2 linked regions of the Arabidopsis thaliana genome follow. The protein of the gene in region 1 interacts with the protein of each later gene in a pairwise test. Each region holds a gene or a part of one and is shown in the gene's direction. Other genes may lie near its edges.

Region 1 (7,232 bases):
ACAACAAGCTTGATAGGCGTGACCTCTCCTCTTTTCAGCCGTTACATTTCGTTCCTCCGTCCCGATGGCAATGGTTTCATGATCGTCAAATGTTTTTCTTCTGGAATCATCCTTGGAACCGGTTTCATGCACGTCTTGCCTGACTCTTTCGAGATGTTGTCATCGAAATGTCTTAGTGATAATCCGTGGCATAAGTTCCCTTTTGCGGGTTTTGTCGCTATGATGTCCGGTCTAGTCACTCTAGCCATTGACTCCATTACCACCAGCCTTTATACCGGTAAGAACTCAGTCGGACCAGTGCCTGATGAAGAGTATGGCATTGATCAAGAGAAAGCGATTCACATGGTAGGCCACAATCATAGTCACGGTCATGGTGTAGTGCTAGCAACTAAAGATGATGGACAGCTTTTGCGCTACCAAGTCATTGCCATGGTTAGTACATATGAAAATACTACAAAACGGTCTTGAGTTCAAATCATAAATTAATATGTATAACCATACTCAAGCTATTTTTGAATACCATGAATAGGTATTGGAGGTTGGCATTTTATTTCATTCTGTGGTCATTGGACTATCTCTAGGAGCAACTAATGATTCATGTACCATTAAAGGACTCATCATAGCTCTTTGCTTCCATCACTTGTTCGAAGGCATAGGTCTTGGTGGCTGCATCCTCCAGGTACGAATATACATTCATACTATATAGTTTATGTCTCTTATATCAATTAGAAATTTACGTTCATATGTATATAATTTATGTTAACAGGCAGATTTTACAAATGTGAAGAAGTTCTTGATGGCATTCTTTTTCACTGGAACAACACCTTGTGGTATCTTTCTTGGAATCGCATTGTCGAGTATCTATAGAGATAACAGTCCAACCGCGTTGATTACGATTGGACTGTTAAATGCTTGCTCGGCCGGAATGCTCATCTACATGGCCCTCGTCGACCTTCTAGCTACCGAGTTCATGGGGTCAATGCTCCAAGGTAGCATCAAACTTCAGATCAAGTGCTTCACGGCGGCTTTGCTTGGCTGCGCCGTAATGTCGGTCGTCGCCGTGTGGGCTTAAACACTCTTTCAACATAATCAATAAATTATTTGATTTATTATTCAAGGCGACAAATACTTTCGCCTTTGTATATTTGAGTTTTTGTTTTTAAGTTTGATTCATTTATTAGTTTGTATAGTGCATGTAAGCGTTTGAAAGAAATTTCTTTTTATGACATTGTAAATTTATTTTTATGAATGCGATGTTTACTTTCTTCTTTGGAATGACATGTATTTAATTATTGGAGTTTGTTGATTGTCAATGTTAGTTAGAAAAAATTAGGTCCGAAATACTAGTGACACGGAAATTAAAGCTATATGAATTAATACTATCAATTATATTTAAAATTACTCTCTTCAAGAAAATGTACATACAGTCTCTTGTTTTAATAAAGAAAAATTTCTTACTTTGGTTAGATTTAAATTACACAATATTTCATGACAACTATTTAACCATAAAAACTCGATAATGTACTATATCTAACACATAATTTGTAGGTGTGAATGGCTTAAGCTAAAAAGCTTATAAATTCTATGTATTTCATTCCATTTCATGGTTTTTTGGTTGAAAACTTTAAGTACAATAACAGACTTACTAACTAATTTGTAAATTTCCACACATGTTTTGATTCCATACACCTGGAATCATATCAAATACTTGTAAATTCTGAACCTATTGAAACAAGTTGAACCATTTCTTTCTAAAGATTAAATGCATTATCTTGAAGTATAAGTTCTTAGAACATACTATTAAATAACTTTGAATAGTCTTCAATTTTACTAATGCCTTAATCAAGTTTTGAAATTATCTTTTTCAAATCATACACACTTCATCCTGACAATTGTAAATGTTTATAGTTTTTAGAATAATTTTTACTATTTTTTTTAATTTGTGTCAATATCTGATTTGGTTTGATTCTAGACTTCGTTTGTTTTCTCAAATTGTGCAAGTAAAAAACACGAATATATCTATTTTTTATTTTATGTTCAGAAAAAAAAAAATATATATATATATATATATTCGTGTTTTTTACTTGCGCAATTTGAGAAAACAAACGAAGTCTACAATTAAGCGAAATCACACATTGACACAAATTAAAAAATATTTCTTTTCTCGACCGAAAAAAGAAAATTATTTCACCAATATGGAAAATCTCCCCAAGTTCATTCTATTTTCTGTATCAAAGTTAACGAATAGACATATAAGCATTTTGTCACGTCGGTGGAGTATGAGTTTGGCACGTTTTGTTTCGTGCTCGTCCAACCATATGAAAACGTGGGAGGTAAACCACTCAACTAATAATATTATACCTTTAAAAAAACTATATTATAAATCCAGTTTGATGCTTATTTTATTAATCATTCTTCAAAGAAATAAAACTTAAATAGTGAAAATTATAACCGAAGTTGACTAGTTAGGAGGCATGCCATGGAATATTGGATACATACTCGGCATGGACAGTATTGAATATACAGGATAATGTAGATAACTATATTTTCTATAATTTATTTTGTGTCAACTATTTTTTCTATGATTCTGATGATTAATTGCATGACAATCAATCAAATTAATTATGCCTTCTTCTATATAACCATGCAAAACCAAAAAAAAAAAGATTATTTCGAAACGACATGAGAATCAAAAGAACTCATAAATCCTAATAGACATGAAATTATGTATACAGTTATAACATTGAAATATCTTAATACCTTACCTAAAAGATAACTAGATTAATAACCATAAAACCAATAATCATTAAGTCAATAACCCCATAATCTTATAAATGAAGTCAGTGACTATATGTTCATGTAAAAATGCGTAAGTTCATAGCTAGATGTCCCTTTTTTAGGAGCACATGGATTGACACATTAAACATTCATACCCGATTTCATGGAATTCTATTTGTCATTATCCTTTCCCAAAAACTTAGTTGTTTCTTAGTTATTAAACCTTGAAAAAAAATCAATTCAAAAATGAAAAATGACTTATATGTATGTCATTTTTGAAAACTAGACATCAAGCTATGAAAAGAGGAATCTATTTACCGAATAAAGGAGGAGGAATCTACATTCATATGTAGTGTTTTTGGTGACTGGATTGCAACCATACACTGAGCACAAGCTGTCACGTGTGATGTTGTGCTCGTAGCATAAACTATAAAGTATAAACCTAATTAAGCTTAAAGTTAAAAATAGTACAAGATTAAAAAGTAAACGTTTGTGAGAGTTGACTAACAGAACTATAGAAGACGCATGGGGTTGACTTCAAGCGGTCTGCAAACGGCATGAACAATGCATTCAAACGATAATATAAACCTTAATTCCAATATAGCCTTTTTCAAATTTAAAAACTCGAATGTTTACGAAACTATAACTTGATAAAACTGATTGAAATAAAATGTACTTACATTTTTTTAATAAAATATACTTAAATTTTTTAAATAAAATATACTTTAAAATATACTTAATTTTTTAAAATCATACTATGGATTTTAAACAAAATAAATTGTCACTGAGTCATATTTCTTTGGATAAAAGAACTTTACATAAGTGATTGGTACAATATAATAATATGCAAATTTAAGACATTTTATTAAGTTTATATTATCGTTTAAATGCATTTTCTATCAACTTAATAAAATCTAGCTAGGTACTTTCATAATTCTATCATTATTCCTTTTGAACGATTAATTACTTTATTTTCTCGTTTCACACTGGAAGCAAACGAGTAATCAAATAAAATTTCGTCATCATCGACAATAAATGGCATGAAAACAACCAGCACACATTACTATATAAACCGATTCATCTAGTAAGTCCAAAGTCACACAAACATTAAACAATCTAAACACACAACAATCCAAAAGAAAAAAGAAAAAAAAAAAAAATGGCTTCAAATTCAGCACTTCTCATGAAAACAATCTTCCTCGTACTCATTTTTGTCTCTTTTGCAATCTCTCCAGCAACTTCAACTGCGCCGGAAGAATGTGGAAGCGAGTCAGCGAACCCGTGCGTCAACAAAGCTAAAGCTTTGCCTCTCAAAGTCATAGCAATCTTCGTAATCCTCATTGCAAGCATGATTGGTGTTGGAGCTCCTCTCTTTAGCCGTAACGTTTCGTTCCTCCAACCAGACGGAAACATCTTCACTATCATTAAGTGTTTCGCCTCCGGGATCATCCTTGGAACCGGTTTTATGCACGTTTTACCTGATTCTTTCGAAATGTTGTCATCTATATGTCTTGAAGAGAACCCGTGGCATAAATTTCCTTTCTCCGGATTTCTCGCTATGTTATCGGGTCTAATCACTCTAGCCATTGACTCCATGGCCACGAGCCTATACACCAGCAAGAACGCAGTTGGTATCATGCCCCATGGTCATGGTCATGGTCACGGCCCCGCAAATGATGTTACCTTACCAATAAAAGAAGATGATTCGTCAAATGCACAGCTCTTGCGATACCGAGTCATTGCCATGGTTCGTACGCACATATATACATACCGAATATCATTGTATTTTAAATGACATATTACCGAATACATAGGTATATCTAACTTTCTACGGATATATAGGTCTTGGAACTTGGGATCATAGTTCACTCGGTGGTCATTGGATTATCTCTAGGAGCAACTAGTGACACTTGCACCATTAAAGGACTTATAGCAGCTCTTTGCTTCCATCAAATGTTCGAAGGCATGGGTCTTGGCGGTTGTATCCTCCAGGTAAATATACTTTAGATAAAAGAAAAAAAATTATCTTTAGCCAAATGTTGAAATTGTATATACAAATATGAAACATCTAATGTTTAAGATAATTTCAGGCTGAGTATACAAATATGAAGAAATTTGTTATGGCGTTCTTTTTCGCGGTAACAACACCATTCGGAATAGCGTTAGGGATCGCTCTATCAACTGTTTACCAAGATAATAGCCCAAAAGCTTTGATCACGGTTGGACTTCTAAATGCATGCTCCGCTGGATTGCTCATTTACATGGCACTCGTGGATCTTCTAGCTGCGGAGTTCATGGGACCTAAGCTTCAAGGTAGCATCAAAATGCAGTTCAAGTGTTTAATCGCGGCTCTTCTCGGGTGCGGTGGAATGTCGATTATCGCCAAATGGGCTTAACTAATACTCCAGATATTGCGGAATTGAAATCATGTGGATTTCATTATCGAACTAAAACCGTTTTAGGTTTACGTCTCGATTCTCTATCGGTTTTTTATCTTCTCTTACAAAAGATTTGCGTGGATCTATCACATTTTAAGGAACATGTCTTTTGGTAGATATGTAAATGTGATAGGCCCCACGATTCATAGTTTTCTTTTGTATCTTCCTTTATTTTGTCAAGGCAGTATAGTTCATATCGTGTAATGTTTTTGCATCTCATATAAATAAATAAAACTTTTGCTGCTTTTTCAAGATAAGTAAATTAAAGAAAAATATATATTATTTTACTTTGTAATCTATATTCGACAAATCTAAATACCAATAATTGGAACTTTAATCACAATCACGTAGTCTATAAATATACTTACTAGCTTGGCAATATTGTCAATCACTTGCATATCGTCCCATACTGCTTTAAATCTCAAATTTATTTTTGAGTATTACTAGGCATTGATATCCTTGTAGTTGATTTAAGTATATAATTTAAACAAGTTCTCTAACCGGGTTCTGTTGATAAAATCAATATGTCTACCAATTGAACCAATACCAATAAATTTTAGTCTTCGCTTGAAACTAAAGTCAAAGTTCGAACAAACAAAATCAGATACATAGTCGAAGTTTATAAACTTTATATGCAGATTCAGTCGATTTCCAAAAGCGCTGGTTTTACTTGGAAAATGTATATCTATCGACCCATTTATGAAGGCTCACTTGATTTGGGTACGGGCATTACTTTCAGCCCAATTATGTGTCCTTCTAACAAAAAACTTATCTCCACTCACCTAACTCTATCTTATTAGTGAGAAGGCATCCTACATTGAGATAACAGCTCGGATTGGTGAAGAGAAGAACCAAACTCGAGCTGTGATCTCAATGTAGGATGCCTTCTCACTAATATATCTCTCTATTTAATCTATGTATCTGTTTTACATTGGTCACTAAACTATGTAACGTACCATTTTCATATAAATATGGTTCTCGTGAACCATATTGTCGCTTCTCCAATTATAACATTTCCATGCTCTGGATTGAATCACATAGGACATGAACATAAGCCTCTTGTACATTGATGTTCCTCTTTCTTAATTTGTCATCCTCTTCATGACTATGAGTATGATCATGACCATTGAAGGAAGTGAAGAAAATACATCATTCATCAGTGAAGCAGTATGTTTATAGCTTAGTTATAAGCATTTTAGAGTCTCAAAACTTCACAATATTGTGCTTTAACTTTAACATTTTCCAAATTTATGCTGTAATATATGTATCGTTTTTGGGTGACCTACATCTCGAAAAATATTGAAGTTTAACTGTAGATTCACTTTAATTTTACTTGGTTATCTCATTCTTCTTCTAATGGAGTTACTTAGCCCCCATTCCCCAACATGGTCACCTCATTTAGGTTAATTTATAAAGTTTGAGGTGTCACAATATGAATGGATTTACATAATTCAGTATTCTTTTAATTAAGATGCTGGTGGGATAAAGAGGAACAATATTATCAAGGCTGATTTGTTCATACTTCATACTCATGCAGTCATATAGCTAGGATATTTCCATGGCTCTTCTCACTGTTTTCTTTTGTAGGATATTTTCTCTGACTTATGTTTTCGTCAAAATGTAGGTTTACGGTAGAAAAGTCCTATCAAAATTTCCGTTCTAAGAGTTGTAAGATTTCATCATTTGCATGATTTTTTTTGTAGTGTGCTAGTTCATAAACAAAACCAAAATCCAACAAATTATAGCCACTCTTTATGTACCGTTACATTTTCATCCAAATCCAACTAAATGTTTTGATAAACTCAAACTAAAATATCTATTATTATTGTTATTGACTTGTTTCTAATCTAAATTTGATTTGGGAAAATAAATAAGATACTGGATTGAGACATGGTAATCGTTTCTTGGACGCGTTCATTGTAACTCGTGAATTCATCACATCGTCGTATTCATCGTTTTGTCTATACATGCAACGCACATGATATGACCCAATCTAATATATTTATTGCACGACAA
Region 2 (6,175 bases), on another chromosome or scaffold:
ACATTTTCTTTCCGACTTGTTCCAAAAAGCCAGTCATCGCTGCTGCTATCATCTTCCTCCAAGGAAATACAGGGAGGAACTAATTCATCAAACAATGAATTGTACCGGGATTCTTTGCTAGGCTTATGTTTCTTTCTCTTCTTTGATTCGGAAATAATTGCTACCTTGCCACTCTCAAGAGAAGTTGAGGGTACAGCCACATCATGATCACAGATACTTGGAAGAGAGACAGAACTTGGTAATTCGCTAGGTCTCTGAGTCCCTGAAGTGGAACAAACAGGATCCTCTTGAGGTACAGCTTCAGCTTCTTTCGGTTTCTTGAAAACAATACGAATCCGTAGTGGTTTACCAGCTACAGGTGTAGCTGCAAATGATTAAACGTCTCTGTTTCAGTATATGTATTCAAACACAATAAAGATATTCATCTAATCCGGGAAGAAACAAAGCACAAACCTTTGATTTGACTCTCAACAACAGCAGGAGAAGTTTCCCTTCTTCTCTTCTTACTGTTCTGGCTACCATCAGACAAATATCCAACCTGAGGTTGCTCAAATTCTTCTGTTAAACAAGATTTCTCAAGCTGTTCGGATTCATATGAGACTGTCTTGGTTGTGGAATACTTCTGTTCAAGGGATTTCTTCTCTTTCTTTAATTTCTTTTCTTTCTTTTTCTCCTTCTTCTCTTTCCGATGCAGCTTTTTAGAATCAACTATTGGTCTTTCGATCTTTATAATCCAATCAGAATAAAGGATTTAGACTAGAGGAAGGATTTATCAGGCAAACAACCAGATACCCATATACGTGGGTAACATCATTCAACCACAAACACACATAATGTTAATTACTCAAAACATATATCTACAACGCGTCTTTATGGTTGACTTTATAATTGGAGACCAAACCAAACTAACATACATGTCTACACGACATCGTTAAGAACGAAATTCATTATGCTAAAACATGTATAGTGTAGATTCAATTCATAGATCTATGCTGAAGATATTTTCCTACAATTTAACCAATCAATAACTTATATGCAACCTAGAGATCTGGCTACAAAGAGGATATTATAAGGAAATTTAACTCTGACCGAACACAGAAACCCATGTTCAGACAAGAGGACACCGTAGCGAATCAATCACAAGAATTGAGTGCTCGACGAACCTTAGTCCATTCGACCAAGTTTTGACCGTTCGCCCAGTTCCTCGCATACACAGGCGGTGGGGATGTGAAATATCGTGACATCGTTTTTTCTTCTTCTCTTTCTTTCTTTCTCAGATCGAATCGACTAACGGACAAGACAACGGACAGTAATTCGGACAGAACTAAATCGAACCTAGGTTTCAGATTCGCGCCTAATGAAACTTCTTCTTTGTGGCGCGAAATCAAAACGAAATCGATAACGAGAGACGGAAGAGAGAAGAACCCTAATTTTTTTTTTCGATTCGATTTTGTTAATCGATGAGAGAGAGAGAAAGAAGAAAAAAACCAATTGCGGTTGAGAAAATAATGGTGAAGGGTAAGGTTCTATTTAAAGACGCGTGAAACACTCAGATCCGCCGACTCGGGCTATACTTACGTTTTTGGAAAGAATAATGTGAAAACCCTAATTTGTAAGGGCTATTCCGTCAATTAGTCGTTATCATCTCCGTGAAGCTCGGTCCGAGTTTGCTACGTCATCTGAAATACCCTTTTTATCCTTTGCGTCTTTCTTACTCCAAACTTTATTATTGGGCTTAACAAAAACTACAAAAGCCCAAAACCCAATGTTAATACGAGGAGAATAATTAATTTTAATTGACTTTGTGATTAATGGGTCTCTTGTCCGACTTGGTTCCTTACGCTTGCATAGAAAAACAGCTACAATTATCTGTGGGCATCACGCGTTAAAAAACCATCTCTTACTTCTAATCAACGGTTCATTATACCGCCACGTGTATTATTATTAAATATACAAAAAAGTTCGCGGCACAGACAATCCTTCCCTCACCAAATATTCCCTTGACTCTCTCGATCTATCTTTCATCTTCATCTTCGTCATCGTTTCCAATTTCCGATATAATCTGATCAAATCATCGCCGACGATCACCGATTCAGCGATGCAACAGGGAGATTACAATTCGTACTATCACCACCAATACTCTCAATTTCAAAATCCTACTCCGAATCCTAATCCTAATCCCAATCCTTCTCCGCCGGCGCCGGCAACCGTAGCTGGTCCGACCGATCTTACTCGAAACACGTACGCATCAGCGCCACCGTTCACCGGCGGTTACGGTTCCGCCGATTACTCTAACTATTCACAGAATTACACTCCTTACGGGCAAAACTCTGAGCATGTCCCTCCTTCAGCTCCTTCCTTCACTTCACCATCACAACCTCCTCCTTCTCCGCCGGCGACATCACTAAACCCTAATTCTTATTCAACCTTCAACCAACCACCACCTCCACCCACGATTCATCCACAACCTCTATCCTCTTATGGATCATTTGATTCTACTGCTCCGTATCAGCAACCTACCTCGCAACATATGTATTACTCACCGTATGATCAGCATCAAACCTCTGGCTATTCATCTGCGCCTCCTCCTTCATCTGCGCCTGCGCCGAATCCTAATCCCGCGCCTTATTCATCATCCTTGTACTCTGCACCTCCTTATAGTAGCGGAGGATCATCCATACCTCCTTCGTATGAGAAACCGTCAGTGAAATTTGATCAATCTGGTTATGACGGTTATAACCGGAGCAGATCGGATTTAGGATCTGATCTATACGGAAAACGATCTGATAGCGGAGAATATCCTGCTTTTGAAGATTCCTATGGCGATGGCGTTTATGCTTATCAAGGAGGCAAAGTTGAGCCATACGGTTCTCGTGGAACTGCGCCGAAATCATCGAATTCAACATTGTTCGATGATTATGGACGATCCATTAGCTTTTCTTCTTCAGGGAGAGATTCTTCTGTTAGCTCGAATTCTGCTAAGATCGTGAGAGCTGTTCCTAAGGCTGATGTGCAGGAAGATTCCACTGGTGGTGTGCAGAAATTTCGTGTCAAATTGTTGGCTGAGACTTATGGACAAACCACAACAGATGTTCTTTGTCAGGTAATGTCCCCAATTCAATTTGAACTTTGTGTTACCTAAACTAGTTTTAGTGAATTGGTTTTGTGCTAGCAGATTGGTTTGGATGGTCTTCGTATGCTTGATCCAAGTACTAGCCGAACTTTGAGAATATATCCTCTTGAGAACATCACAAGATGCGAAGTAAGAGATTATCTACCTTCTTCTTATGACTGAATTTGTTCCATTTTTGTGACTGGAGGTCTTATCTATTGTTGTAAATGTCTTTCTATCAGAAACTAGATTCGTCTATTCTGGCTTTCTGGTCTAAGACTCCGGTAGACATTGAAGCTAAACGTATCAGATTGCAATCAAATAGTTACACCACCAACACCCTTCTGGACACTGTGACGGCTGCAATGTTTCAGGTTCATAAAATTTACAAATTTTGTTTCATTAAAAGTCTATATGTCAATTCCATCATGATTTCTTTTGACTAATCCAATGTTCTTATGTTGGTGGGTTTTAGGCCAAGGAGATCGGGGGAAGTAGCAGGCCTCCCACCTCTGGAAAACTGATTGAACAAACTGCTGAGAAGAAAAAAGGATTGGGTGATTGGATGAACATTATAAAGCCTGTTAATGAGGAGAAAGATCATTGGGTAGGTTTTTTTTTTTTTGGAAGAAAAACACATTTCTCTTGTAGTCAAAGTAAAAGGGCTAGGGTAGTTTTGGTGATTAGTTACATCACTTGATTCTTATTTTCTTGCTTAGCTGTGGTATGTTGTTCTCATTCCATGTTATTTTTGGCTTTAGGTACCTGATGAAGCTGTTTCTAAGTGCACATCATGTGGTTCAGATTTCGGTGCATTTATACGAAGGGTATTATTTTCCCCGATCTAACAATCTGAATTAAATTTTTGGCCATGTTGGGACTATCAAACCTTATGGATTTTTTATTTTCTAGCACCACTGCAGGAATTGTGGTGACGTCTTCTGTGACAAGTGTACTCAAGGCAGGATTGCTCTCACTGCTGAGGATAATGCTCCTCAAGTCCGTGTTTGTGACCGGTGCATGGTATGCTTATCTGTCTGTTTATTTTTCCTTAAGTTGAGAAATCATGTTCCGTTGATTCCTGAGAATGTAGCTTTAAGTTAATTTGAACTGGTATCTTGTCTTTTATGCGTATGCCTCTAAGTTCAATCTGTTTCTGGATGTGCAGGCAGAAGTGTCACAAAGGTTGAGTAATGCCAAGGAAACCACTGGCAGGAATGTGAGCCTGCAGAGCCATGAAGACCTTGCTAGAAAGTTACAGGTGAGCTAATCGTCCTTGGTTCTTTATTAAGTTTAATGATTTACAAGTTGAGTTAATATCTTGGGCAAAGTATATAATTGTTTTCTGATGGCGGATATGTTTGATACAGGAGGAAATGGAGAGAAACCGCAAGTCTTCGTCTGGTAATTTTTCATATCTAATATACTTATGTTTATGATATATTGTTTCTGGTATTTTATGGTTGCTGACAATGATAGCTATGATTCTAACAGGTTTGAGGGAAGGATCTGGGAGGCGGATGAAAGAAGTAGCTTGTCCAACATGCACTGTGCACTTACAGGTTAGATCCTTTGATAGCATGTCTTTCGTTGTATGATTTTGGGACCCAATTTTTTCTAGAATAAGGAAAACAGGGAGGTCCTCATAATCACTTGTGTCAGTGTGTATGATCATCTTGCAAACTACATTGACGAAATAGAATAGCTAGAGAAATGTTTATGTCTTACGTGAGACCTCTAGTATTAAACAGTTACATATGGTCGATGTGATTTTCTATTAAGATTGGATCATGGAGATTGTCGCTTAATCATCTGAATAAATAGTTAAAGCAAGTTGATAGATAACTCGAGGCAGATTGGAATTTGAAGTTGGCTTGTTTGTAGTGTCTCTTGATAGTATGCGTTTATGAGAGCATTGCCATTTAAATTGCAGGTCCAGGTTCCAGTCTCAGGATCAGAGACCATTGAGTGCGGAGTTTGCCAAAACCCTTTCCTCGTTAGCGCACATTGATCTTCCTACCCGCTTTTTTGCTTGACATATATATCAATTATAAGTATGAGATTTGGTTCATTTGGTTATTGAATTGGGTTTGATCACATCAAAATAAGTTCTTGTCCTGTCTCATGTGGATGGTGTTTCCCCTTTGTGTGTATATGAAAGTCTTTTGAGTGATGAACATCTTATACTTTTCATGTAGTCTGTTGTCCTACTGATGTCTGATTGGTTAATTTACTGTATCAGTCCTCCAATGTCATTACTCCTGCTTCAATTTCTCTGACCACTCACATGTAGTCCAATCGGTTCGTTGTTCATTATGTATTTTACTACCATTAGGTCCAAACACTTGAAACGTTATGTTATACTGCGCCTGGAACCGAAACAGAGCGGTTTCAAGTTGACCTGGTCTTCTTCCATGGTAATTGCAAATCCTCTGATTCGAATCAATGAATGCTACAATGGTGTAAAATACTGTGCTACAATGGTGTACCAAATTTTTAAGCTTTCCTTTCATATTCAATTGATTCAATTAGGTTAAGTATCATAAAACGCTTTAATATTCTTGTCCACACTTGTTCTTTCTCGAGGGTCGAGGCTGTGTTTATTCGAGTTGTTTTTGGAAAATCATCTCGTATTTTTTTTCTTTTGAGAGAATAGTGTAGAAACTGTGGTCTTATAGTTTTAGAGGGTAATACGAAAATGAGAGTGCGATTAGTAATGGATAACTGAATTTAAGAAAAGTTCAAAGTGTGTGAATGAGAAGGAGTCGTAAGAGACAAGCATCTTCTTCTTATAACCATCTAAACCACATGCTTATGTCCACTTTTTTTCTTTCTTTCTGAGTGAAAAACACTTTAGTCTCCCACTCTTTATATTTTGTAGCTTCACAGCAAAAATTCTCTTTTACTTATCAGACAGATAAGATCATATAGCAAATATGTTGCAAGATAGAGTTTCTGGTTCTTTGTCTAGTTCGAAAATATCTCGATGTGTTTTGTTTCTCTCACTCTTTTGTTTCTTCCTCTTGACGATGCATGCTTCAGCAAACCGCTTACAGCGAGTTC

Evidence for each region.
Region 2: the proteins of IRT1 (region 1) and AT1G20110 interact in a two-hybrid assay, tested with the Arabidopsis thaliana proteins (one study listed by BioGRID).

What each region holds. Positions count from the first base shown.
Region 1 is NC_003075.7:10,703,550-10,710,781, forward strand, and holds IRT1 (iron-regulated transporter 1), read left to right. Parts: upstream 1-3,794; 5' UTR 3,795-3,937; coding exon 3,938-4,525; coding exon of another isoform or gene 4,526-4,573; exon of another isoform or gene 4,574-4,610; intron 4,611-4,620; coding exon 4,621-4,770; intron 4,771-4,868; coding exon 4,869-5,174; 3' UTR 5,175-5,466; downstream 5,467-7,232. Other genes in the region: IRT2 (iron regulated transporter 2), read left to right, coding at 1-432, 530-679, 767-1,072. UniProt on the Arabidopsis thaliana protein: High-affinity iron transporter that plays a key role in the uptake of iron from the rhizosphere across the plasma membrane in the root epidermal layer. Acts as the principal regulator of iron homeostasis in planta.
Region 2 is NC_003070.9:6,969,456-6,975,630, forward strand, and holds AT1G20110 (RING/FYVE/PHD zinc finger superfamily protein), read left to right. Parts: upstream 1-1,968; 5' UTR 1,969-2,098; coding exon 2,099-3,103; intron 3,104-3,175; coding exon 3,176-3,262; intron 3,263-3,354; coding exon 3,355-3,486; intron 3,487-3,587; coding exon 3,588-3,719; intron 3,720-3,873; coding exon 3,874-3,939; intron 3,940-4,024; coding exon 4,025-4,135; intron 4,136-4,280; coding exon 4,281-4,373; intron 4,374-4,482; coding exon 4,483-4,516; intron 4,517-4,606; coding exon 4,607-4,674; intron 4,675-5,045; coding exon 5,046-5,123; 3' UTR 5,124-5,675; downstream 5,676-6,175. Other genes in the region: AT1G20100 (DNA ligase-like protein), read right to left, coding at 1-364, 454-724, 1,164-1,244; AT1G20120 (GDSL-like Lipase/Acylhydrolase superfamily protein), read left to right, coding at 6,049-6,175. UniProt on the Arabidopsis thaliana protein: Endosomal sorting complex required for transport (ESCRT) component regulating multivesicular body (MVB) protein sorting and plant growth. Required for the formation of intra-luminal vesicles (ILVs)in MVBs.